Mus musculus: one gene and its partners. The protein of the gene in region 6 interacts with the protein of the main gene of each other region in a pairwise test. Links are inferred from orthologs where the notes say so. Each region holds a gene or a part of one and is shown on either strand. Other genes may lie near its edges.

What was found.
Region 1: the proteins of Trim23 (region 6) and Troap interact in binary tests that used the Homo sapiens proteins (3 or more experiments, as listed by UniProt). The two-hybrid records come from large-scale screens. The link is inferred for Mus musculus from reciprocal best matches to the Homo sapiens genes TRIM23 and TROAP.
Region 2: the proteins of Trim23 (region 6) and 4930432K21Rik interact in binary tests that used the Homo sapiens proteins (3 or more experiments, as listed by UniProt). The two-hybrid records come from large-scale screens. The link is inferred for Mus musculus from reciprocal best matches to the Homo sapiens genes TRIM23 and BRME1.
Region 3: the proteins of Trim23 (region 6) and Aqp1 interact in binary tests that used the Homo sapiens proteins (3 or more experiments, as listed by UniProt). The two-hybrid records come from large-scale screens. The link is inferred for Mus musculus from reciprocal best matches to the Homo sapiens genes TRIM23 and AQP1.
Region 4: the proteins of Trim23 (region 6) and Trim27 interact in a two-hybrid assay, tested with the Homo sapiens proteins (2 studies listed by BioGRID and IntAct). The link is inferred for Mus musculus from reciprocal best matches to the Homo sapiens genes TRIM23 and TRIM27.
Region 5: the proteins of Trim23 (region 6) and Card9 interact in binary tests that used the Homo sapiens proteins (3 or more experiments, as listed by UniProt). The two-hybrid records come from large-scale screens. The link is inferred for Mus musculus from reciprocal best matches to the Homo sapiens genes TRIM23 and CARD9.
Region 7: the proteins of Trim23 (region 6) and Gpkow interact in binary tests that used the Homo sapiens proteins (3 or more experiments, as listed by UniProt). The two-hybrid records come from large-scale screens. The link is inferred for Mus musculus from reciprocal best matches to the Homo sapiens genes TRIM23 and GPKOW.

The regions. Positions count from the first base shown.
Region 1 is NC_000081.6:99,077,973-99,080,940, forward strand, and holds part of Troap (tastin), read left to right. Parts: intron 1-274; coding exon 275-351; intron 352-663; exon of another isoform or gene 664-676; coding exon of another isoform or gene 677-725; intron 726-811; coding exon 812-930; intron 931-2,832; exon of another isoform or gene 2,833-2,893; coding exon 2,894-2,968. UniProt on the Homo sapiens protein: Could be involved with bystin and trophinin in a cell adhesion molecule complex that mediates an initial attachment of the blastocyst to uterine epithelial cells at the time of the embryo implantation.
Region 2 is NC_000074.6:84,165,038-84,168,537, forward strand, and holds part of 4930432K21Rik (uncharacterized protein C19orf57 homolog), read left to right. Parts: intron 1-1,543; coding exon 1,544-2,653; intron 2,654-3,500. UniProt on the Homo sapiens protein: Meiotic recombination factor component of recombination bridges involved in meiotic double-strand break repair.
Region 3 is NC_000072.6:55,334,984-55,339,098, reverse strand, and holds the start of Aqp1 (aquaporin-1), read right to left. Parts: upstream 2,801-4,115; 5' UTR 2,609-2,800; coding exon 2,225-2,608; intron 1-2,224. UniProt on the Homo sapiens protein: Forms a water channel that facilitates the transport of water across cell membranes, playing a crucial role in water homeostasis in various tissues.
Region 4 is NC_000079.6:21,189,931-21,192,576, forward strand, and holds part of Trim27 (zinc finger protein RFP), read left to right. Parts: coding exon 1-40; intron 41-161; coding exon 162-194; intron 195-662; exon of another isoform or gene 663-756; intron 757-1,289; coding exon 1,290-1,316; intron 1,317-2,099; coding exon 2,100-2,646. UniProt on the Homo sapiens protein: E3 ubiquitin-protein ligase that mediates ubiquitination of various substrates and thereby plays a role in diffent processes including proliferation, innate immunity, apoptosis, immune response or autophagy.
Region 5 is NC_000068.7:26,351,687-26,354,798, forward strand, and holds the end of Card9 (caspase recruitment domain-containing protein 9), read right to left. Parts: intron 2,720-3,112; coding exon 2,671-2,719; intron 1,329-2,670; coding exon 1,255-1,328; intron 876-1,254; coding exon 799-875; coding exon of another isoform or gene 726-798; coding exon 626-725; coding exon of another isoform or gene 607-625; 3' UTR 501-606; downstream 1-500. Other genes in the region: Dnlz (DNL-type zinc finger protein), read right to left, coding at 87-326. UniProt on the Homo sapiens protein: Adapter protein that plays a key role in innate immune response against fungi by forming signaling complexes downstream of C-type lectin receptors.
Region 6 is NC_000079.6:104,177,478-104,181,638, forward strand, and holds the start of Trim23 (E3 ubiquitin-protein ligase TRIM23), read left to right. Parts: upstream 1-1,361; 5' UTR 1,362-1,403; coding exon 1,404-1,484; intron 1,485-3,596; coding exon 3,597-3,759; intron 3,760-4,161. Other genes in the region: Trappc13 (trafficking protein particle complex subunit 13), read right to left, coding at 637-682.
Region 7 is NC_000086.7:7,695,880-7,699,933, forward strand, and holds the start of Gpkow (G-patch domain and KOW motifs-containing protein), read left to right. Parts: upstream 1-1,254; 5' UTR 1,255-1,346; coding exon 1,347-1,516; intron 1,517-2,613; coding exon 2,614-2,774; intron 2,775-2,876; coding exon 2,877-3,001; intron 3,002-4,054. UniProt on the Homo sapiens protein: RNA-binding protein involved in pre-mRNA splicing. As a component of the minor spliceosome, involved in the splicing of U12-type introns in pre-mRNAs.

The DNA of each region.
Region 1 (2,968 bases), on a different chromosome or scaffold from region 6:
GGGTTCAGACTTTGACAGCTGAGCCTTATCTATGACATGGAGGACATGGGGAGCGCTGCGTCATTTGGCTACAGCGTAAACTGACAATAGATGGCTTTTGAGTTCAATTCCTGACCCTTACCACTACTAGCTGTGCAAGCTCACCTTAACCTGCCTGCGTCTTGGCTTCTGCATCCCCATCGGCCAAGTGAGGTTAACACTGGTACTGTTAGAGGCTACTGCGCTGGTGTTTGCAAAGCCCTTAGCTAATGCCCAGCCCTTGCTTGGCACTCAGGGACGGGGACTGTACTGACAGAAGGACCTCAGCAAGCCAAGCCTCAAGACTGCTCCTGAAGACCCCGGTTCAGCCTGGTGAGTTTGTGTGGATGTGGGAACAAAGGAAGGGTGAGTGCCTGCACCAGGAAGGCAAGGGTCAGCAGGCCTCAGGGAGTGGGGTGAAGTAAGGGAGAGGTTGGAGGGAGGTCTGGCTCAGTGGTGGCGTGCTCCTCCAGCATTCACATCCCAAAAACACACACACACACACACACACACACACACACACACACACAGCAGACAAGACCTCCCGGGAAGGTCAGAGGTCAGCCTAGTTGTGCGTGTATCTCTGTTTCTGCCCTCTCCCTGCCACTTCCTGCAAGACAATGTCTACTGTGTTCTCTGTCCCAGTCCCTTGTGAGCCATGGCCACCAGCCCACCCAGGGCATTGGGATTGATAAGTGTTTGCCAAGGTATTATTGTGCTCTCGGGGGATGCTGAACGGGTAGACTTTGGTGTTGTAGATACTACAGGAAATGAATGTCCTGTCTCCTCCCAGCTTCCTTACCCCTCCGAGGCGAGCAGGAGGCTGTCCCTCACTCCGACGACGGAGGGGGAAGACATCATCTGGGTCTGGCTCAACGGATACCATTAAAAGAAAGTCTGACAAACACCAGGGTGAGCCGAGACCCTCCCAGGATGGGGAAGGGGTGTTCAGGAGGCACACTGAGGGTTGTGGGTAGAATTGGCAGACCCGGGACTCAGGGTATTTGGTCTTTTGCTGGAGTTGGGACCAAGCCCTCTTCAGGGTAGATCTGACTTCCTTTGTTGGGTATCTGGGACCCAGGGTGAGAGATGACAGACTGTTATGTGTGTCACTATCAAATCAGTACAGTGGCTTAAACATGGCCAACACTTACCAACCAAGCATTAATTCCTTCATTCCACTGGCATTTGCTAACTGGCTTTTGGATTCAGCCATGGTTCTAGTTCCAGAAAAAATATATGTGTGTGTGTGTGTGTGTGTGTGTGTGTGTGTGTGTGTGTGTATGTGTATGTATGTGTGTGTGTGTATATATATATATGTGTGTATGTGTGTGTGTGTGTGTATATATATACATATGTGTGTGTGTGTGTGTGTGTGTGTGTGTATATTCTAGAAAGGGGGGCAAAATAATAAAAGACAAAATAAACCCCACCCCACAAATGTAAAATGAAATATATAGGATGTCACATGGTGACATGTTCTTTCTAAAACTAAATGTATAAGGTACTGAAAGGACGTGGGAGAAGGATTGGTGTCATAAATTGGTAGTTTAGAGCCACGCTTGGTGGAACATGACTGTAACCCAGAGGAGGCAGGAGAATTGCCTGGGGCTGAGCCATCGTGAATTCCAGGACAGCCTCGGCTATGTAGCAAAACCCTGTGTTTAAAAATAGAAGGTGTGTGTGTGTGTGTGTGTGTGTGTGTGTGTGTGTGTGTGTGTGTGTGTGTGTGTAGGGGAATGGATGAGTAGGGCTGGCAACTTAACTCCCATTGGTCAACTTATAACTGCCTGCCAGAACTTATAACTGCCTGCCAGCCAGGCATGGTGGCGCACACCTTTAATCCCAGCACTTGAGAGGCAGAGGCAGGCAAATTTCTGAGTTCAAGGCCAGCCTGGTCTACAGAGTGAGTTCCAGGACAGTCAAGGCTATACAAAGAAACCCTGTCTTGGGAGAAAAAAAAAAACCTGCCTGCCTGTAATTCCCTCTCAAGACATCTGATGCCCTCTTCTGGCTCACATGGGCATCCAACACATACATAAATTCGGGAAAAAAATTGTTTAATGTTTACAAAGGGCATGCTAAGCAGTCTTTTTACAAAATGTAGTATGGCTAAGGCACTGTCATTGGGAAGATAAGGATTGCCTATGAGACCAGAGTTGAGGCTGTGACTCAGACAAGATGGGGAGGGCTGCAGATGCAGAAGCCCCGAGGAGAGGAGACATCTAGTCTTTGTGAGTTGGCAAAACAGACCAGAGAGGTTGAAGCCTAGACGAGAAGAGGGTCTGAGATGAGTTTGCAGTGACGACAGGTGAGAGATGAGGTAAGGACAGACAAACCAGTGTAAGTTCTTGGTAAGGACAGACGAACAGAGCACTTGTAAGTCCTTGGTGAGGACAGATGGACAAAGCACTATAAGTCCTTGGTAAAGAGCTACAAACAAGTTTAAGTTCTCTGCTCTTTCTTGGGCTGAACAAGAGTCAGGGGGAGATGCATGAATAGGGAGAGAGAGTTGGTTTCTCACTTGAATAAACCACTCAAGCGCCGCACATCGTGGCAGTGTGCCTGTACTCCTAGCCTCTTCCCTACGTGAGCCCCCAAAGAGTAGCTGCTGCAGTGGGGAGAACAGGAAGGTAGCTTTGGGGGCCTCCACTGGACGGTGATGGCTCCCATCTGCTGCCCTCCCTCCCCCATTCCTGCAGCCCAGTTGTATAGTACCACCTTCCATCACCGAACAGTCAGCTGTTTATAGACAGTCTCAGGGTGTTCGCTCCCCAGGCCTCTCAGCTGTGATTTCTATCAACAACCCTTGGGCTGGGCAGGATGAGAAGAGTTTGGCTGGAAGCCCTGCTCAGCCAACCACCTCTCTCCTCAGAGCACATATTCATCCATGAAACGCTTTGCCATTCGACGGAAAGCCCAATTCACACCCCTCCGATCGCTACCTAAA
Region 2 (3,500 bases), on a different chromosome or scaffold from region 6:
ACACATCATACATACCATATATATCACATAATATATGCCATACACATATAATATACAGCATACATCAGAGTCATATATACATCCCATATACACATAAACAAATCATACATCATACACACATCATTGACACATTAACAATCATGCATCAGCCAATCATACACACATCAGTAATAAACATTTTAAAAGATATTCTCACTTGGGAGCAGAAGCATGTGTTTTGAGTTTGCACCAGCTTGGTCTTTGTATCAAGCTCCAAGCCAGTCAGGCTGCACAGGGAGACCCAGTTTCAAAAACCAAGGTATACAAAACAAAGAGTAGCTTGAGTGGAGGGTCACTGATGCCAGGGCTGTTTAGCATCCTCATCATGGTGGCAGTTTCTAGAAGGAGAGATTGTTAGGTCAAATGTAGCTAAGACTGGCCCTCCTGATTCTCCTACCCCTGCCTCCCAAGTGCTGAATTACAGGAATGTGCTACCACAGCTGCAAGATAGGTTTTCACCAAACTCATATCCAGACCCGGATGTCATACCTGAACAACACAGGGTGTCAACACTGGAAGATGGGAGTAAATAGGAACGTCATGTAGCATTTGTTACAGCATGACTACAGTGACCTCACAGCAGAAAGCCTCTATTGTTACCACCATTGGGTTTCTGAGACAGAATCTCACTTTGTACTCCAGCCCAGCCTCACACTCTGAATTTCTTCCTCAGCCTCTAAATGTGATGATATATGTGTGCTACCAATTCCAGCCCTATGCCAGCTGGGTTTTTTTTAATGATGTATTATTTTTTAATTACCTATACGTATGTGTGTGTGTGGGTGCCTCTGCCACAGTGTGCATGTGGAAGAAAGCAAGTCTGTGTAGTCTGTTTTCTTTACCATGTGGATTCCAGGGATCAAACTCAGGCCATTAGGCTTGTCAGAAAGTACCACCTCTACCCATTGAGCTATCTCATTTGCTCTGGTGTATCTTAAGCTGATAAGTGGCTGGTGGGATTAGCCAGTAAAGTCTCATGTCACCAGATCTGACAATCTGAGAGCTTTCATAGGAGGAGAGACTCCTGCAAGTTGTCCTCTGCCCCCCATCATGGTACATGTGAGTGTGTACCTGCACACACACACACACAAACACACACTCATAAATACTTTAATAAGCTAATGAGTTGTACCACTGGGCCAACTGGCAGGAGAGACTTTAAGCCCTTCATTGAATCGCTGGGGTGGGTACAAAACTCAAGACTTTGTGCAACTAGGCAAATGCTCTGTTATGGAGTCACCCCACAGCCTACCACCTGGATTTTTATATTCTGAGATCCTGAGTGCTTGGTGCTGGCATAAAATGAGGGGCCTGTGTACTTTCCTCCTCCTGCCTTAGCAGAAAGCTCTGTCTAGAGTAGCTTCTAGAGCCCACTGTGGTACCTAGTGGTGGATACAACTATCTGATCTTGAGGACGGGATCCTCAACTAGGAAATCTCCAACTAGAAAGTTCTTCAGAGTGCTTGCTTATTGAAGGCCAGGACTGAATCTTCTTTTTCCACAGGAAACAAGGCCAGAGCTGGGAGCCCTCAAAGCAGCCAGCCAGCCACAGAGAGAGTCCCTGAGGTTCCCTCCCCATGACATCAGACCAGAAGTCCAGACACAGCCAGATGGAACCCTTTCAAAGGAGAGGACAATCTCACTAGATAATAGAAGCCTGGGGAACAATGGTTTTGAGATGGCCACAGTTCAAGACAGTAGTAGCCCCCTGTCAGATGCTGCTGCTGAAGGCAGGGAGGCAGACAGCAGAGACCCACAGGAAAGAGATGCCCAAGGAGGGGAAGCAGGGGCCCAGCATTCTGGGGAACCCCAGGAAGGAGAGGACATCCTCTACACATCAGCATTAGCTCCTGCCTCAGAGCCCACCTGGTCTGTGGCTCAAGACCTCTCTGTCCCCACATATACTCTCAGCAGCACAGCTGCAGCACCCAGCTCCACCAGCCCAGCAGATGCCTCTCTTATGGACACTGTCATTACAGAAGTGAGCTTAGATCCCTCTGTGCTGCAACAGAGTGCTCCACAGGTGGCCAAGCTGCTGGGCTCTCTGGATGAGCAGATCCCTGATGGAGGCTGCATTGGAACTCTGCTGAGCTCCACACCTCTTGCTGAGGAGACCACAGCAGGCAGAGAGGAGGCCAGATGGGAAGAGAGGTGTCATGGTGATACCCTGGCAAGCTTCACTGAGACAGAGCCTGAGAAACAAGAGCCCGTGACGGAAGCTGGAGATTCCGGCCATATAGCCCAAGAAATGGATCCAGTGGTCAAGACCAAGGACTCTGGCTCTGATGAGCAGTCGCCAGGAGATATAGGAATGCTGCCTTTACCAGCACAGTCCATGAATCAGATGTTGGTAGAGTTACGTGGCCTAACTTGTGATCAAGACTTAGAGGGCCTCAGTACCCCTCATACCTCCTCTCAGCTAGAGCACACTTGTGCAGCTAGTGACCCTCCCCAGAGCACCAAGGACTGTCACAGCAGCCCAGGCATTCCTGTACACCTGGCAGCTCCCTGTCCCAGAGACCAGGCTGCATGGCAGGAGTCCTCAGCAATGGAACTAGACTTCCTGCCTGACAGCCAGATACAGGATGCCCTGGATGCCACTAACATGGAGCAGGTAAGAGCTTTCTGTACTCAAATGTACACCCTGTCACCTTTAGGTGACAAGATAGGGCTAATGTGTCTGACTATTTATACAACATAGATGTCTGAGGGCAGAGAATCATAGCAGCTTTGGGCAAGGTGGAGCCTGGTTTTTGTCAAAGGCCTATCTGTGTGGGCCTGGCCTCTGTGGCTGCTAAGGAGCTGCACAGGATAGGGAGAGATAGGAAGCCTGTCAGTCTGGGGCCTCCCTGCCATAACTAGAGCCCTCATATGTGCTACCCATGCCCAGCATCTGCCCCTGGCTAGCAAGGGGCTGTGTAAGACCATTATCAACACACCTAAGAAGCCAGTGTCCTCACATCAGACGGAGGAGAGGGAGCTCACTGCTGAGCTGGAAGAGCCCGCATGCTCTTGCAGCTTGCTGGGAATCGTGACTGATTTTTCTGCAGGCACATGCGTAATTGTGTTGTAGTTCCTAAGGTTCTTGTGCACCCACAACTGCCCAGATGTGACCTGGGCCTCTGAGCCTAGGTCAGCCTTCACGTTTACCTGTTAGCCCCACCCATGGGAGAAAGAAGCCCTGCTCTCTGCTGCTGCACTTGGTCTGACAAAGGGCTGTACTGCCAGACCCTGAAACTAGGCAGCTCCCTCCTACATAGTGTGTAGTAGAGGGGCTGAAGGAGGCTAGGCACCTGCTGGAGAGGAGGAGCTTGTGGTACACCTACATCTCCTGGAGTCCAAATCTCCTCTGCCTTGGAATAGGGAGCTGGGTGGCTTCCAGCAGGCTACGAGAGTTCTCTCCCAAAGAGCCAATATTTCACATGGTACCACAGCCTTCTGTTGAGATACTTACTGATCTA
Region 3 (4,115 bases), on a different chromosome or scaffold from region 6:
TGGCGGCAGGATGAGGGTAAGAGCAGAGGGACTGTGAGAGCCTTCCCCGGGGAAGTAGAGGGGAGAGGCTGCCACCTGTTCCACTGACTGTTGTTCCTCTAAGGCACTGAGGCCATTCCCAGCCCCTCCATAACCAGGAGCCAGTGCCCCAAGAGAGCCACATGTCAAAGGTTCATTATTTGTTTGGATGAGATAGTAGGAACCTCAGCACAATATTTGGTCCCTCCTCTGATGCCGCTGCTGGGGGTCCTCTTAGCCAAGCCCTTTGGGGGTCAGTAATTTAGCTCCAGCCAACAATATAAGCCAGTAGTGTCAGAGTAGCAGGAATGACCCCAGAACCTAGGCTGCTTGTGAACCTCAGGATGCTCACCTCCAGGAAGACTCAGTGGCTAACAACAAACAGGGCTTAGGGTGCCTGCCTTCTTCCCCAAGCTGTTCTCACACTGGCCTGAAGCGTTTTTTCTCCTTCAGCTGTATATATCTTGCCTGACACAGATACTCTGGCACCTCTGGAAAACTGGGGAAGGGGGGTAAGGAGTCTGAAGTGGGGTGTAGCCAGGCTCAGGTGCTGCCTGCTAAAGCAATCACATTCTGCCTCTACCTTGGATGACCGTATTAGAAATGCAAAGCCTTTGCCAGCAAGGGCATAGGTCTTGCCTGTCACTTGACTTGGAAGAGACAAGATCTAGGAGGGAGCAGGCACTGCTTCCATCCTCCCCATCCCCCACCTCGGTAGCAACTCGAACCTCCTCGAAGGAATTCACTAAGGCACCTAGCCCTGCTCCTATTGGAGAGACTGAAGTCTAGAGGGACACGGCCCGTCTAACCCTGCTCCAAGTTTTCTCCAGCTAAAGTCTAAACTCCAGCCATGGGGCTAATCTTCAATCCCCAGCTGAGCAGAGGTTGACTTAAAAGTGTGATGGTGAGGTGTCACTGTGGTACAGAAGTGCTCATCCCTGCAGCAGAGCCACGGCAGCTGCCCTCTGCACCAGACTTTCACCTCCCTCCTCCTGGTCTGCATCTCCAGGACCTGAACTTCAGCTGGGAAACGAAAGATGTCTAATCACGCATAGCTATCCAACTCACCGGACAGAGTCCTGGCTCACGCCCTTGCGCCTATCCCCATGCATCTACCCTGCTGGGGTCCAGCCAGCTTCGTTTCTCTGGACCTTATTCTACCACTCTGCCGTTAGTCTTTGCCTCTGGTGAGGGACTCCAGCCTATTCCATTCTGAGACACCCTACACCCTTACTCAGATACTCCTGCTAAACCCAAGTGAACTCAGTCATCATGGGCACTTAGCTAAGAAACTGGAAAAGGTCAGTGGCCAGGCAGCCACCACAGAGGCCACTTAGTCATGTAGAGTAGCCCAAAGACAGTTATGTTGAGCAGTCGCCACGTACTGTTGCCAGCGTCTGCTTATCATTAAAGCCAGGAACAATGGGTACAAGTGCTTACACACTCTCCAACAACACAGCATCAACGTGAAAATAGCTTACACAAGTTCAGGACCCAAGCAGACACTCACACACCTTCGCTTCCACCTCCGCACACAACAAGCCAGCATGCCCCACGGTTCAGTGGCCAGGGACTGCTGAGCTGAGCCCTTCTCCTGAACTGGTATCTAGAAAACTCTCCCAAAGCTCCAGAGAGAGTATTGTTCTCTCAACTTTGTCTAATTATTGGGGGTAGAGGGAGGAAAGGGGGCTGTCTCCTGACTTTCTGAGGAAGTTGATTTGGGGACCTGGCTAAGGATTAGAAGCCGATTAGAAGCCCAGGCAACTTATCAAGAGAGTCACACTCAGACACTTGCAGAAGTGGCTTTAAACACACTGGGTAGCTGGAGAAAATGTACTCGGGACAGTAGGTAGAGGTTGCCTAGTGCACGGGACTGCAAAGGGGGAAGGTGACTGCTCAGGTAGCTCAGAAGAGGGGAGGAACTGCTGGCATGCACCTAGCTGCCCCTCCAGCTCATTCCTGGCAGTAGCTACTCTGCAGGGGACTTTGGCACAACCATATTGTCTAGCTCCTCCATTCTCACAGCACCAACCAGCAAAGAGACCATGCAGTACAACTGAGTTCTAGCCCCAGTTCTCAGCATGACTCCAGAAACCTTCATCCTTCTCTCTGTTCTTCAGTATCCCCCTTGTACAGTAGGCAAATGGAGCCAGCTCCCTCTCTGTCTTCTCCTACAGACACCCTAAGCCTAAGATACCCCACTCACGTCATTGCGGCCAAGTGAATTGTCGACTAGGGAGGAGGTGATGCCCGAGAGAATGGCCGTGGCGACGATGGCTCCCACACACTGGGCGATGATGTACATGACAGCCCGGAGGATGCTGATCTGACAGCTGAGCAGGAGCCCCAGTGTGACCGCAGGGTTGAGGTGAGCACCGCTGATGTGACCCACACTTTGGGCCAGAGTAGCGATGCTCAAACCAAAGGCCAGCGACACCTTCACGTTGTCCTGGACCAGCGTCTGGTTTCTCTCCAGTGGGTAATTGAAGCCTAGGGCAGAACCAATGCTGATGAAGACGAAGAGGGTCATGGCCAGGAACTCAGCCACCACAGCCCTCCAGAAGAGCTTCTTCTTGATTTCACTGGCCATGCTGGCAGGGACCTCGACTTAACCGCTGGATGCCTGGTGCTCAACTCCCTCCAAGAGCTGAGCCACAGCCTGGGCTGGGCCTATTTATAGGGCTGGGTGGGGGGAGCACAAAGGGAGGAAGGCCTCTCCTTGCTCCTGGCCCGCCCCACACCACACGAGCCTCCTCGCTGCGATGGATGCAGACAGGGCTCTGCTGTCTGCCTGCCAACTTTTTCCTTCCTCCTCTCCCCCTCCTGCCCTCCCTTGCTCCCTCCACCCGCCTCAGCCCTCGGCCCTGCCCAGCGTAAGGAGGCAGGAGGCAACCGTTGCTCTAATAGGCTTTGGGAAATTCTTCCAAGCTGGCTCTTCTCAGGGGGCCAGAGAAATCCAGGTGTCCCCGCCCAGCCTGCAAAGCTCAAGGGTGCCTGAGGGCAGAGGCTGGCACTCTAGAAGGGGTGGGGAATAGGGGTTGTCTGGACTCCCCAGACGGACATTGCCCTCCCTGGAGGTGGCACCAGAAATTGCCTGCCTGTCCCATCCCACTCTGAGCAGAGTTAGTAATCTGAAGTTCTCAGGCTGAGAAATCTGTGGGCCAGTCTGGCCTCCAATGTCCTGGCCTGGGCCAAGCAGCTGCATGTCACTTTGGGGATGTGTCCTCGCCCCCCGGGCCTCATTGATGGGAGTAGAGAAGCTTTCTGGGAGCCACCTATCATTCTTTAGACAATGGCAGACCTTAGCCAAGCAAGGTTGCTGGAAAACTCCCCCAATTCCTCAAACTTAAAACAATTTGAGGCCATGATTTGAGAGGGGGTGGGGAAGATAATGTTGCTTAGGCTTTTTTTTTTTCTCTAATAGATAAAGTAGCTAGCAGGTCACTGAAGAGATGGAAGGAATGACAGCTGGACCTGAAAAGGAGCGAATGGGAGACATGGGCTGGGGCTAAGAGACAGATGCAGTGATGGGATGATAGGCAGAGCAACAGGAAGCATTATCCGAGTGATGGTGGAAAGTGGAAGAGGTTTCCAGCCTTGCAGGAGACAGCGGCCAGGCTATGGATGTGCTCACGCATACAATATTCAACTGGGCACTGGATTCAGTCACTAGCATCACAGGAAAAAACAGCACGTCAGAAACAGGAAGAGACAAACGGAGCAGAGGAGACATAGGCCGGACAAGAATCTAGATAGAGAAAGAGGAGAGAGGAAGGTAAGGGAGACCAGAGGCACTTTCCAACACCAGGAGGGGTGGAGAGGAGGTGGGGGCAGACAAAGCACCCACCATGTTTCCTGTGTACCCCCAAAATCCCGAGTAAAGGACCAGAGAACTGGTCGGTCACTTGCCTACTGTTTGAGTGTGCTGGAAGGTATACCAGGCCCATAGGGAGGCTCTCTCTGTGGCCACAAGGTAGGACCTGTTATGATTGGTCCCTCTCTTTCCATCTTAGTCCTTATCAGAATCATTGGCTTCTTACCCATCAGAGGTGGAAAAACAACACTCACTGAGAAAGAAGAAATGTCTTTGAGTCTGA
Region 4 (2,646 bases), about 83 Mb from region 6:
AAATGTCTGTTTTTGACAGAAAGTCTAAAACAGTTCACAGGTAATATGAGGAAGAGAGTGGGTTTATATTCTGAGTGTGTTGTTATCATTGTCATCTGAGGATGGATTTTCTAACCAGTTAAGAGTCATATAAACCGAATCTCTTCTTTTTTTGTTTTTAGAAAAGATGCAGTCAGATATGGAGAAGATCCAAGGTAAATTTACCTATTTCCTGAGCTCTTGACATTTTAAGTTTCTTGGAAAGAAGCGAGTATATAGACAGTCCAGGGGGTGTCAACAAGATAGCTCAGTAAGTGCAGTCACTTACTGGGCAAACCTGTCGACCTGAGTCTGCTACTTGGAACCTATACAAAGGTATAAGGAAAGAACAGAATCCACGTGTGTAATGACATTTGTGATCGCACACGCACACACACGCACACGTTATTCATGTGCTTCCCTACCTGACACCGTTGCTTTAGTTTGGGTTTGGTTGAGACAGTCATAATGTGTAGCCCAGTCTAGCCTATTACTCACCGGTCTCCTGCCTCAGACCTTCTGCCTCTGGGGTTACAGGTGTGGCGCCATATCCACAGCTACGTTTAGTTCGGTGGCTAGTAACCAGAAGTGGCTTTCCTTGATCTGATTCTTCTTTCTCTTCCTCTTCCTTTGCCACTTCAAAGACTTGTGTGAAATCCTTGGCCAGCTAGAAACCCCACATAAATTAATGATGGCAGTGGGTGTCATTTGAGCCACCCAGCCTCTACAGCAAAGATGGTTCGTACAAGTTAAGAGTTATATATATTATATGTCATGCATTTGAACTTTGCCTTTGCAGAATCCAGTGGCTCTCTGGAGGGTGGAATTCTTGATCTTGGCTCAGTGTGATACCATGTTTTACAAAGTTCATACATGTTATCTGTATAGCCAAGGTTCCCAAACCCCTAACCCTAAAAATCCTTGCATGTGCAAAGCATAGTGGTGCATGCCTGTAAACCTAGTACCTCACAGCTCATCAGCAGTGACTGCCATGAGTTTGAAGCCAGCCTGGCCATACAGTGAGTTTCAGGTCAGCCTGAGTTACATAGTAAGACTGTCTTTCTAAAAGAGAAAAAAAAATTCCTGGGCAGATAAGCAGATATGGAGTCATAACATCAAATGAAAATCAGTACCCAATTGACACAGGCGTTCTGCAATGCTAGTGGGTTCCACTGCTTTATGGTTTGTTTTTTGTTTTTTGTTTTTTCACTTAACATGTTTCCTAGAAAGACACACAGGTTCAGTAACTTCTTTTCTCTCTTGTCTTTCAGAGTTGAGAGAGGCTCAGTTATACTCAGGTAGGTACCTGAAGACAAACCATGTTGAAGAAAGGATTAAAAGCCCTATGAGCCTGACCACTATTATAAGTGCTTTGAGACAGCCTCAAGTTTGAATCCTTTAGTTGCATATACACAGATATCATACAGCCAGAAGCCCAGTAGTTGGGAACATGAGGCAGGGACATCAGGAGTTTAAGGCCATTTTTTTGCTACTTAGTTAATCCACATAGATTTCTGTTTCAAAAAAGATAAAGGGAAAAACTTAAAAGAGTGGATGTTCAAGGCAAATTCTCAGAACAAATACAAGAATGATTTGAAAGGTGGTAATATTAAACTTTAGCTAAAACTATTGGCCACCAAAGTTTTCAAATTCAGAAATTAGACATATGTAAAGAAGCTTTAAATGAAATCTCCGAAGGAGGTTGAGCCTTAGATGTGAGAAAAGGAGTGGGAAGTAAAATTGTATTACTTTCATTGTTATCCATACAGAGGCAATCAGCTAATCTAACCGTAAATTTTTAGGTTCTGAGTCAGGGTCTTACTATGTAACACTGACCATGCAACATGGGCTGGTCTGGAACTCCTGAAGATAACTTCTGCCTCAGTCTCCACGTGTGCCACCATGCTTAGTTCCAAGAGAATTTTTTTACATAATCAGTTCACCGTGTGTCTGATATATAATGAGTACAGCCTCTGGTGGGCATCTCCTACAGTGTTCTGGGGAAGTCAGTGAAATACCAGGTAGTCTTGAGTGGGCTCTTCTGGCCCTCAGATGACACCCCCCCCCCTTTGTTTCTACAGTTGATGTAACCCTGGACCCAGACACAGCCTATCCCAGTCTGATTCTTTCTGATAATCTTCGGCAAGTACGGTACAGTTACCTCCAGCAGGATCTTCCAGACAACCCTGAGCGATTCAATCTGTTTCCCTGTGTCTTGGGCTCTCCATGTTTCATCGCTGGGAGACATTACTGGGAGGTAGAGGTGGGAGATAAAGCCAAGTGGACCATAGGTGTCTGTGAAGACTCGGTGTGCAGAAAAGGTGGGGTGACCTCAGCCCCCCAGAATGGATTCTGGGCAGTGTCATTGTGGTATGGGAAAGAATATTGGGCTCTTACATCCCCAATGACTGCACTACCCCTGCGGACCCCTCTCCAGAGAGTAGGGATTTTCTTGGACTATGATGCTGGTGAGGTTTCCTTCTACAATGTGACAGAGAGATGCCATACCTTTACTTTCTCTCACGCTACCTTCTGTGGGCCAGTCCGGCCCTACTTCAGCCTAAGCTACTCGGGAGGGAAGAGCGCAGCTCCTTTGATCATCTGCCCTATGAGTGGGATTGATGGGTT
Region 5 (3,112 bases), on a different chromosome or scaffold from region 6:
TGGTCCGAAGGATACTTCCACGTTTCTGCCAGGACCCTACACCAACAGGAAACCAGCCAGCACCAGGTGTTGCCGACAGCGCCCACCTTGCAGGTGTAGACGAGTTGATAGTGGTCCGCTTCCACGCGCCCCAGCGCCGCCGCACGCCCTGATCCCGGCGCGGAGCTCGAGCTCCGCCAGCCCGAGGCCCAGCCCCAGGCCCAGCCCCGAAGTCTCTCCGCGGTCTTTAGGCGAGCCCCCAAATCCCAAAGCCGCCGCGGTCCGGAATCCCGGGTCCGCACACTACGAAGTAGTGTCGGCATGCGGCTCAGCGCTGTCCGCAACATCCCGCCTGCGAATCCTTAGCCACCTTTTCTTGCACCGCCCCGTGAAGCTGCGTCGACCATTTTGGTAACGGGCGCAGCGGCCGGAAGCGGCCCTCTTCGGCTTCCATCCGCCACCGGTGCACTGCTTTCTGTTGCCCCCTGGTGTCGCCCCGCTTGCATATCCAACCAACAGGCTCAGCTCGGTGATTATTTTATTTAGTTGCATTTTCTAATTCTAATACAGTAAAAAAAAAAAAAAAAAAAAAAAAACCGCAGCATCCTTTCACAATTCCACAGATGCTCAGCCTCGGCGCGGTTCGCTAGGAGCCCTCGGTGTCGGTGTTGTCGCTGCCTGTCGTATTCCCGCGATCCCCTTCTCCCTGCCGCCAGCTGTTCTGCATCTTGCGGAGCGCCCGCTTCCTGTGGGGCCCGCAGTGTGAGCAGGTAGGCACAGGTGTCCCACCCGCCAGCCGTCCTGCCCGCCGCCCCACACCTGCGGTAGTTCTCGAAGCTCTCCTTGAGGCGCCGCCGCTCCTTCTCCGGGGGCTCGCTGCTGCTGGGCCCCATGCCCTAGAGAAGGAACGGGGCCGGCAGCTGGACAACGGGGCGGGCAGCTGGACACCGTGGCCTTACCACGGCAGCCCTGGGACTCCAGCAGGTGTGGAGCATAGCTAGCTGGCCGTGGGGTCTGCTGGACTCCGAGATGACTGAGCGTGGGGTGACAACCCCTTTGTAGCCAGGTGAGTGGAAGACTTCTTTGCAGTGAACAGCAGTATGGGTGTCCTTACATTGTCCCCTCCCCTGTCCAACCACCCCACTATCCAAATGTTACATCCTACCCATACACTACCAAAGACCTTGTGATCCCCAGCTGTCCAGTGGCGTCACCCTCCTCCCCAGGATCAGCCATGTAGTAACCAGGGCTCTTGGGAACCCCAATCAGCCTTACATGGGTCAGTGAAAGATGCTCCTTGTTCAGAGCCATAAAGGGCTGCTCTGGGCTCTCCCTGTCTGCCAGTACACCTGAAAGGAAGATCTGTGCTTATGGGGGCCCCATCTGGTATGGCCACCTCCCTCTGCAAACAGCCCAACTAGCATTAGCCTAGGTCAGCCTTACGGGCTGGGACCTTTGCATGAGTCCAGTGGGGACTGCATTTCACAGAAACAGGCTGAGCCCTTGACTGCTACATCAACAGGGCTCCTACCATCAGTCACCCATACCGCCCAAGCTGACTGTCACCAAACACAAGGACAGATGGCTAGGAAAGACTCCAGGTCCCCATGATTATTTGCGAATGCATGCCCCAGTCCATGTCCCTTTTAGCTTGGCAACATTTTTGTGTCTAGTGGTTCCCATGGGTGGTGTGGGGGCAGCCTCAGTGGAGAGCTCAGGGCATCGGGGGCCTGGGTTAGTGCAAGTACACCATATTAATTAGAAGAATAATCATTCCAGGTAGCCAGAGCCAGCATGCCCCAGGTCCTGGGCAAACCAAGGCTCAAGCCTCTAGGTAGAAGATGTGCAGGGAAGGCTATGAACATCAAGAAACAATTATATCCAAGGAGGGCTCAGGGTGTGAGAACAACCCCGTCCCAGCAGCCCTGCCCCCTTCCCCTCTCATTTTCGTTGTGCCTAACTGTTGGCATGCCTTCAAGGGAGCTGGCTGCTCTTGCATCCTTCTCCTTGTGTGCCCACATGGAGCTCAGTGACCTCAGGTTGGGTCTTGGGGGCTGCAGTGGGTGACCCGTGCTTCTCCATCTACACCTCTTGTTCCCCTTTTGCCTTTGGTTAGAGCCTGGGGTAAGGCTGAGCTGAGGAAGTCTGTCTGACTTGTCACGAAAGCTCCCTGGGCTCCTCCCTGCGCCAGACCCTCTCGCCACCCACCCTCAGCTGCCCCAGCTGCCACCCCCCAGCTATTAGATCAGAGGAGGGTCCCGCCTGTCAGCCTGCTGTGGATAGCACAACCCCCAGCTCCTTGCTTGTGGCCCTGTCCGTAGCTCTATTCCTCCCCTCCTCATTGAGCACACCTGGGTACTGGCTAGTATCTCCCCCTGCAGGAGGAAGGCTAGTGGGGAAAGATGGGCCTATGAGGGATGGGGCCTCCACAATCACTGTCCTCTGAGCCACAGACCCTGAGACCTAAGTCCCACATTCAAATCAGATTCCTTATTCTCCGGGTGTGTTAGTCTAAGAGTTCTGCCCTTCACCATTGACTCTCCTTGCCTTGGGGAGTATCATCCTTGGCTGGAGTGGTGTGAATTCTGAGACAAAGTAAGTGACACAGCTTTACGTGCTGAGGATGGGCCAGGGTTAGGGAGGCCAGGAGACTGCAGCCTACATGCCTCTGATAGTACACGGTATCCTCACCTTTGTCTGAGAGCTGGGCATCCTCCTCCAGATCCTGAGGCAGTGAGAGCTTCCAAACAGAGACACGCCACCCAGTTAGACCATGCTACAAGCCACCATTGCCCTTCCTGTACTAAGTGTGGCCCAGCCCACTGCCCGCTTGACTCCAGCTCCTCAGTTGACACAGCCATCACTATCACCCCTCTGCACAGAGATTCTCAGGGACTCCGTCCCAGTCAGGCCAACAGGCAAAGGAAACCCTAGCATGAAGCTCTTGTCCTGAGAGGCCAGGATATGGGACATTAGTCTATGACTCACTTCTCACTTCGCTCACAGCAACAGCTTAGAGTTTGGCCAGCACTCTTCCCTGAATCCAACCCAAAATGAGAGAAAAGGGACAGCCCAGTTTAAGGGGACAGGACCATGTGGGAGATGAGTGTGAGGTCAGGTAGAGGTTGAAGGC
Region 6 (4,161 bases):
GAAAGTGCATTGTGGCAGTAGCAAACATAAAAAAGAGGCTGAAAATGTTTTTAAATAAAAGGTTATCGATAAGCAAATTCAAGGAAAATCTGACCTCTTATCTTTTTTTTTCTGATCAAATTAAATCATTAAAACGTATTCAAAACTTCTGCGTATAGACAGTTAAAGTTGTTAAGATAGTCTAGTCAATTTTCCCACAAACATGATACTACAGTATGAATTAATTTGTAGTATATTTCAACAAATCTAAGAAGTATTAGGTGTAGTTCCACTTATTTCAAATCCTTGGTATTATCGTGCTACACTATCTACAGATAAGTTAAATTCTGGTAACTTCATCCCTGCGCCATGGACAGATTTAGGAGCAATTTTTGAAAAAAACATATCAAATGCCAGCTGAAATTTATGCTGGTTCACAGAGATCTCTGCGGCAGGGTCGAGGCGCGTGAGCTTCAGTGGACAAAACGTGGTGGCTGCGGTAGCAGAGACCTCTCAGAGCTTGGGTTCGCATTTCATTCCAGGAAGAGCAGGAAGGCGAGTTGCCGGGGTTAGGGACAAGGCCTACTTCGGGGATCCTTCGCACAATGAGGGTACAGGCAAACAACAGAGTGAGGAGTCTCAGGTTAGCAAGTTTACCTTTTAGCGCCAGCAGGTGCTCCTGTTTGGGGGGATTCACTTCCATCTTGGCGGGCACTTCTGACCTCAGCCTACGCAGGCTGAAGTTTCACCGGGTCTGGAAGGAAAGTGCAAAGCACAGGTCCCGGAAGATCGGGCTTCAAACGCACGCCCGACTTCTTTCTGCTCGTGAGGACTTAAATTCTCTTGTCACTAAATCCTTTACGGCCCCAGTGAAATCTTTGTACCATGGCCATTCCTTAGCTCAGAAGCACACACTTGCCTCAACCACTAAGGCTGACTACAACGATCCACTTCTTGCTGACAATTCGCGGCTTCCCAAAAGCTTTCATTGCCCGGTGGGGGTGGGGGAGGGCGCTACTGTCATGGCATGCTGGGATTTGTAGTTCATCATATACAAATTTCGCAGTGTACGCGGGGCAGGTGGCATGTAGCTCAGTCCTTTATTCTGATTCGTTTCAGTTCTAGAGAAAAAATATTGTTACAGGAATGTCATTTTCACCATAAAATTTTATTTATGTTCCATACTTAAAAAAAAAAAATTTCTCCTCTCCATTACTCGCAGATGCTTTCATGAAAAACAGTGCGCACGCGCAAGCCGTACAGCCAATGACTGACGGGAGAGAAAAGGTCAGAAGGGACCGAACGGCTCGCCATCTATCCTGCGCATGCGTGAGGGCGGCATGCGCCGAGGCTTCTGGGTAGGACGCTCAACCCCTCCTCTCAGTAAAAGGCTCTCCTGCAGCTGTGGCGCGGCTCCATCCAGGATGGCTGCCCTCGCTGTAAACAAGCCCGGAGCCGGAGTAGACAGTGGGCGGCAGGGCAGCCGGGGGACGGCTGTGGTGAAGGTGAGGGAACTTGCGTGCTCTGTTCTCCACCTGCGGCCTCCCTTCGGTTCGTCCTGGAGACCTGGCCGCGACTGTGTGGCCCAGGCTTGGCCGGGTGGGATGCGCGGCCTCTGGTGGGCGTTACAAGCCTTTCCGCCCTTCCGCGGTCCTTGCCCCGCGGAGCTGAAGTTGCCTGGTCTTCTACCTCAAGTGTCAACGTTGTCCGTGGGGCTGTTTGTGAAAAGCATCGCGTGAAAGTTGACCTGGATTTATTTGGTCTTTCCCCTAGTCTTCTGTTTCTAGTGATGCCTCAACAGGCGTTACTTACTTGACTTGGTTGTATTAAACACTTATTGCAATAGACAAGTACTGTCGTAGATGGTTCAGCTCGCAAATATCTACTTAAAAGGTAGATGTTAAATCGCATTTTACATGGGAGGAACCCTAGGTTTAAGTTAATACAGTATGTGCTAAGGGCTCAGAGTTTACTGGTTGTCAACGTCTGCCATTCAACATTGCCCTGAACAGTAGAGACTGGAAACTTCTGAACTCTCCAACTGCAGCACATTTGGGCTTTAACACTAGATGTATGGAGTTTATAACTCTCTGGTTAGAAGATTCTACCGTCTACTTATTTACGAGCTACATTTACTAAAAATTAAGTGCAAGTGTGAAGATCATTTTCCTCACCCACTGTAACCTAGATCTAAAAGGGGCAGGCGTTTTAGGGAGTCACTCGGAAAGATTATCTGTTGCCAAGAGATTAAACAACAACTCTTTCTGAGTGTGTTGACGACAGGACATTTTTTTAATTCCCAGAAGTAATTTTAATGGACACTTGGATTTATAACAGTGAACCCAAGTCTGGTTGGACATTCTTTTAACTCGTTAAATGGTAGATATCTCTTTCTGTCTCTGTCTCTCTCTATAGCAAAGGTCTGCTTTTGAGGAATATATGCCTACGATGTATTATCAGTCGTATTTTATTGGTGTTGAATCAGTTAACTTTTTATATTAATGAAATTTAGAGAAGCCCTCATTAAGCATATTTTGTGCTTATTGAGATTTAATATTTTGAATTGTGTTTTTGCCAAATGGGAATACTTGCAGAATATTTTGTCATTCTTTTCCTATAATTGGAATATCATGTCTAATTCTCCTTAACACTTCGTTTTACTTTACTCATAAAGTATTCTGCATATGTACATGAAAAACATAACGGTTGTAGTTATGGCATATGAATGCACTATAATTTCCCTTTCAATTTAGTATTTATATGTATCTTTCCTTGTTTTTAATTAATGATACAAATAGTGCTTTAAAGAGTTACACACTGGTTTTGTCATATGTGGGCTGGATGTTATTCACTAGTAGACCATTTACCTGCTATGTGCAGGAACCTGAGATTTCCCAGTGGCAGAAACAGCAATAGCAACAAAGAAGAAAGCACTTGGATCCTGTCATGTATGTATGACGCAGTTTAGAGTAAGTTCCATAAGTACTGCTAAATTGTGTCCATGAATGCTATTATTAGTCAATAGACTTTTTGTATTAGTCAGTGAAATTGTTTTCCTATACTTCTATTAATACAAAACTTTAACAACTTTTTGAAAAAAATATCTTGATGTAGTTATTCTTTGTTCTCTAATGAGTTAGACTGAAATCTTAATATAAAGTTTTCTTTAACATTTAGCAGGTATTTATCTCTTTTTTTTCCCTATGAATTATACCACATTTAAGTTTCTTTTGAATTATTACCAGTATGTGAGGTAACTACAAATTACCAGTTTAATTGTAGTAAAAGAAATTTGTATCTCAGTTTCTAAGTCTAAATGTATTAGAGAATCAAGTTGTCTTCTGACCTCCATACTTGTTCTGTGGCACCTTATATATGTGTGTGCACACACATCCACACATAGAAAATAGCATAAACTTGTAAAAGATTAATGGAGTCATACTATATGTCAAAAATTGAATAATTTATCTATCTATAGAAGAAAGCAAGGGTGTCTCTATTTTAGGTTTTAAAATACTAAGAAACATGCCTGGCTTGGTCAATTGTTTTTAAATCTAAAATATGTGAATATTGTTTCAGTAGTGTTTACAGGGCACATGTTTCTGTTTTATATACAGGTTCTGGAGTGTGGGGTTTGTGAAGATGTCTTCTCTTTGCAAGGAGATAAAGTTCCTCGCCTCCTCCTCTGTGGCCACACAGTCTGTCATGACTGTCTTACTCGCTTGCCTCTGCATGGAAGAGCAATACGTTGCCCATTTGATCGACAAGTAACAGACCTAGGTAGGAAAATTATATGAGGTTAAAGTGAAAAATTATTCAAACACAAATGTCACAGAAAACAAATTTTTACACCTGACTTTTTATGTTACGTTCCAAAGAGCTTTCACAATCTGAGTCTCTACTAAGGTAGATGAGGTCCACTCTTAACTGCCATGGGAATCTGAAACTTCCATAGCTATGCTTAACACAAAAAGCTTTAAGAAGTATCAGAAATATATGCTACCCTTATTCAAAGAAATGAGACTACTTTATTCATCCCAGGTTAAGTCCTACTAATGCTCTGAATACAGAACATGGTTTCTTTTTTTAAATGAAAGGTAATCAAAATATAAAGTCATTCAACTCTCAGTATTTCCTCCCTCCCTCACTCCTTCCTTCCTTTTTTCTCTTCCTTCCTTTCGT
Region 7 (4,054 bases), on a different chromosome or scaffold from region 6:
ATCACTGTTCATCATTGAAGGACAAGAACTCAAACACGGCAGGAACCTGGATGGGTACTGCTTACTGGCTTGCTCCCTGTGGCATGCTCAACCTGCTTTGTTACAGCACCCAGGACCACCAGCCCAGGGATAACACCACCCAAATGGGCTAGGCCCTCCTCTATTAATCACTAATTGAGAAAATGCCCTATAGCTGGATTTTATAGAAGCATTTCCTCGGGGCTGGCAAGATGGTTCAGTGGTTAAAAGCATTGACTACTCTTCCAAATGGGTCCTGAGTTCAAATCCCAGGAACCACATGGTGGCTCACAACCATCTATAATGAAATCTGACTCCCTCTTCTGGAGTGTCTGAAAACAGCTACAGATAATAATAGATAAATAAATCTTTTTTTAAAAAAAAGCATTTCCTCAACTGAGACTCCTTCCTCTCTGACTACTCCAGCTTGTCTCAAGTTGACACACAAAACCAGCCACTGCACAGTTATTCACTTTACATATAATTAGATAAAATTTGTTTTCATATTTTATTCATTTGTTCATGTTTACATGTATATGTGTTCATGCATAGCATGGCACTTGTGGTGCCGTCAGAGGCAACTAGTGGCTAACTCTATCTTTTTACTATGTAGGATCTTCAAGAACTCAGGTCTTCAGCTTTTGTAGCAGACACTATTACCCATTAAGTCATCTTGTGTAAATGAAACTTTTTTTTTTGGGGGGGGGGGTTCGAGACAAGGTCTCTCTGTGTACCCCTGGCTGTCCTGAACGCCTGCCTCTGCCTCCCAAGTGCTGGGATTAAAGGTGTGCGCCACCACTGCCCGGCAGTAAATGTAACTTTTATTTGCCTGATGTAATTGTTGTCTCCATGGTTTACTGCTTTCATCTGCTAAAGTAGACCTAGCCCTGGAAGCCTCCAGCCTCTATCAGTAAGGTTCACATTGTGGAAGCACATTATGAGTTTTATTTATTTTGTTTTGTGTATATAAACATTTTGCCTGAATTTATGTTCGTGCATCACATGCGTGCATGGTGCCTGAGGATGTCGGGAAAGGGTATAGGATACTCTAGAACTGAATTCATAGCGGTTGAATACCGAGGAATAACCTAATCAATCTTCCACAGCGGCTATACCACTGAGAACTACATTTCCCAGGATGCCGTATGGCACGTTCCTATGACGTTTCAAAGAGTTTCTGCGCCCTGATTCCTGTTTCCCACGGCTACAAGGCACTTGTCTTTGAGGCGTTGCATGCTGGGATTGATTCTTACGTTTCCCGGCCAGCCCCTCACGGCTCGAGCTAAACTTCCCAGCAAGCGGAGCGCTCGCCTGTGACTCGAGCGAAGATGGCGGGCCGTGAGAGTCCGCCGCCGTCTGCCCCGTCAATGGCTCCAATTTCTTTCGGGTTCACTCGCACGTCTGTCCGGAGGCGACTGGCAGACCTCGGAGATAGCGAAAGACAGGCCCCAGAGGAGAAAGATTTCTTGGCGACCGTGGAAGGGAGGAAGCTGCAGAGGTGAAACGCCGGGTCTTTCGCGTTTTGGAAATCTGTGAAATGGGCTTAAGCAGGAGGGCAGAGTAAGAGTTGTTTGTCCTGGTGACAGTGGCCTGGAAAGCCTGAAACACTGCCTCGGGAAATTTATGGAGGTAACCAGGAGTGGCGGCAAACGCCTATAAGTCAGGACCTGGGAGGCTGGCGCAGGAGGATCAGGAATTGAACGCTAGCCTGGGCAACTAAAAAACAAACAGGAAGAACATAAGAATGTAAGGGCAAGAAGAGGGAGGTTTGTTAGGTGGGTGAAATGGGGCCTGAGAACCAGAGGTATAGATTCCTCAGAAAAAATGTCGTTGGGACTTGAGTATGTGTGCCTTTTGAGAAAGGGAAAGGAGGGAAAAATGACAGGATTCTTCCTGTCTCAGCTGAAATTGTGGGAGCTTCTCCGATTTGGAGAACTAGGCAAATTCAAGTCTGGGGAGGCCATCAGCAGTATAATTAAGTAAGAAACAAAGGTCCGAAAGGCCTAAGTGGGGGACTTGTAAAAGGCAGCTTGCCGGCCCGGAACCGGGAAGAATCTGGACTAAAGATGGTGATTTTTAGGCCATTGTGGTTGAAGGCCTAAGGCTGATTCCCACAAGACATACTTAAAGAGATCCATGGTTGTAATTCCAGCACTAGGGGATTGCACCAGGCTGACTGAGAGTTTATAAGACCAGCCTGAGCTAAATCGTGAGATGTCTCAAAAAAAAAAAAAAAAAAAAAAAAACGAGTGGACCTGTGAATAGTAACCTGTGAACATGGTCCATAGGACTGGGCATTGATCTTTCTTTCTTTCTTTCTGGCCATTGAAATTGATTTTCTTTGTTTCCTAACCTCCTTTCTATCTTGATATTTATACTTTCTTTCTTTGGAGGGGGCGTCAAGACAGGGTTCCTCTGCATCCTGGCTGTCCTGGAACTCACCCTGTAGATCGGGCAGGCCTTGAACTCAGAGATCCTCCTGCTTCTGCCTCCTGAGTGCTGCTGGAATTAAAGTCATGCGTCACCACTGCCGGCCTGATATTTCTGCTTTGTGACATGTCTACTTTCCCAACCTTTTTTCTCTCCCGACATAAGTGTGAACCCTCCAGAAGCCCCCAAGGAGCTGGTTATCCCGTTGATCCAGAATGGCTCTCGCAGGCAACCTCTGTCCAAGAACCCTAAGCCATCCTCAGAAACTAGCACCGTGTTGATGTCAGACGGTGTGTTGTCCCAGGCTGTGAAGGAACTCATTGAGGGTGAGTGGACCCTGTCTCTTTGCTCTGCCCCAGTGCAGATAGAAGGGGAAGATGTTGGAAGGATAGGCTGTGGCCTCATTGATCCCTCCCATTCTTCCTTAGAATCCAAGAAGTCTCTGGAGGAGAGGGAGAATGCAGGTGTTGACCCCACGCTCACTATCCCCATGATCCAGAAAGGATGTACTCCCATTGAGGAAGGATCAGACAGCGAACCTCAGGCTGAGACAGTGAGCGGCCCCTCTACCTCCCTCCTACACTGTTCCCTCTGCCCTGGCTGCCTAGCCTCCTTGCACATAGCCGGAAAAGTGTGTGTGCGTGTCCCTAAGCCCTGCCAATTAGCCTTTCCTCCTTCCATTCTTATTAGAAAAATTAACAAAATAGATAGGGCATTTTAAAAACGTACTTGAATTCTGGGATGATGTGAATGAGGTGGACAACAAAGTAGACAGGACGTACAGGTGCCATGAGGCTGTGCATTGTTTGGAGCCGCATTGGCCTGTTTCCTCTTTCCTTCTTTCTTTGGTCTGATTTCAGACTGCATGTTTGAGGAGCACTGAGAAAGCCTACTACTGGATTGCAGTGAATGATGAGGGGTTGGGCAGTGGATGAAGGCAGAGGGGGGCAGGACAGAAAGGGCATTCTGAGCTCCAGAGGGCTCCTGTCTTTTACTGTGAGTGAAGTGAGAGCTAAGGGGATGTCTTGAGCAGACAAGGGTTATAACAGGGTCCCCATTGTCTGTCCTGACCAAAAATGACTAGGAAGTGAAGGTAGGGAAGGAAGAAAGGAACCTAATGCAGGATAGAGGTCACAAGGACACACACATTCATAGGAGTGGCTGGAGTGAGGGCTGGAAGGACAGTTAGGGTTTAGTGAGAGAAGAATGATCAGAGTGGGCACTTTTTAGTTTTTTGAGACAGGGTTTCTCTGTATAGCCATGGCTGTCCTGGAACTCACTTTGTAGACCAGGCTGGCCTCGAACTCAGAAATCGCCTGCCTCTGCCTCCCGAGTGCTGGGATTAAAGGCGTGCTCTACCACGCCCAGCTCAGAGTGGGCACTCTTAATGGCAGCAACAGCCCAAGAAAGCAACACTTATGGGTCAATCTGAGCCAACTTGCAGTGTGCTGTATCATTGGAAAGGAATGAAGAAATGACAGCAAAAGAGATGGAAAGTGTGTTTGTGGAAGTCAAGTTTTGAGTTCAGCTTCTTAGCTTTTTAGCTTTTTTTTTTCCTTTTGACACAGGGTTTCTCTGTATAACAGAGATCCTCTGGCCATCCTGA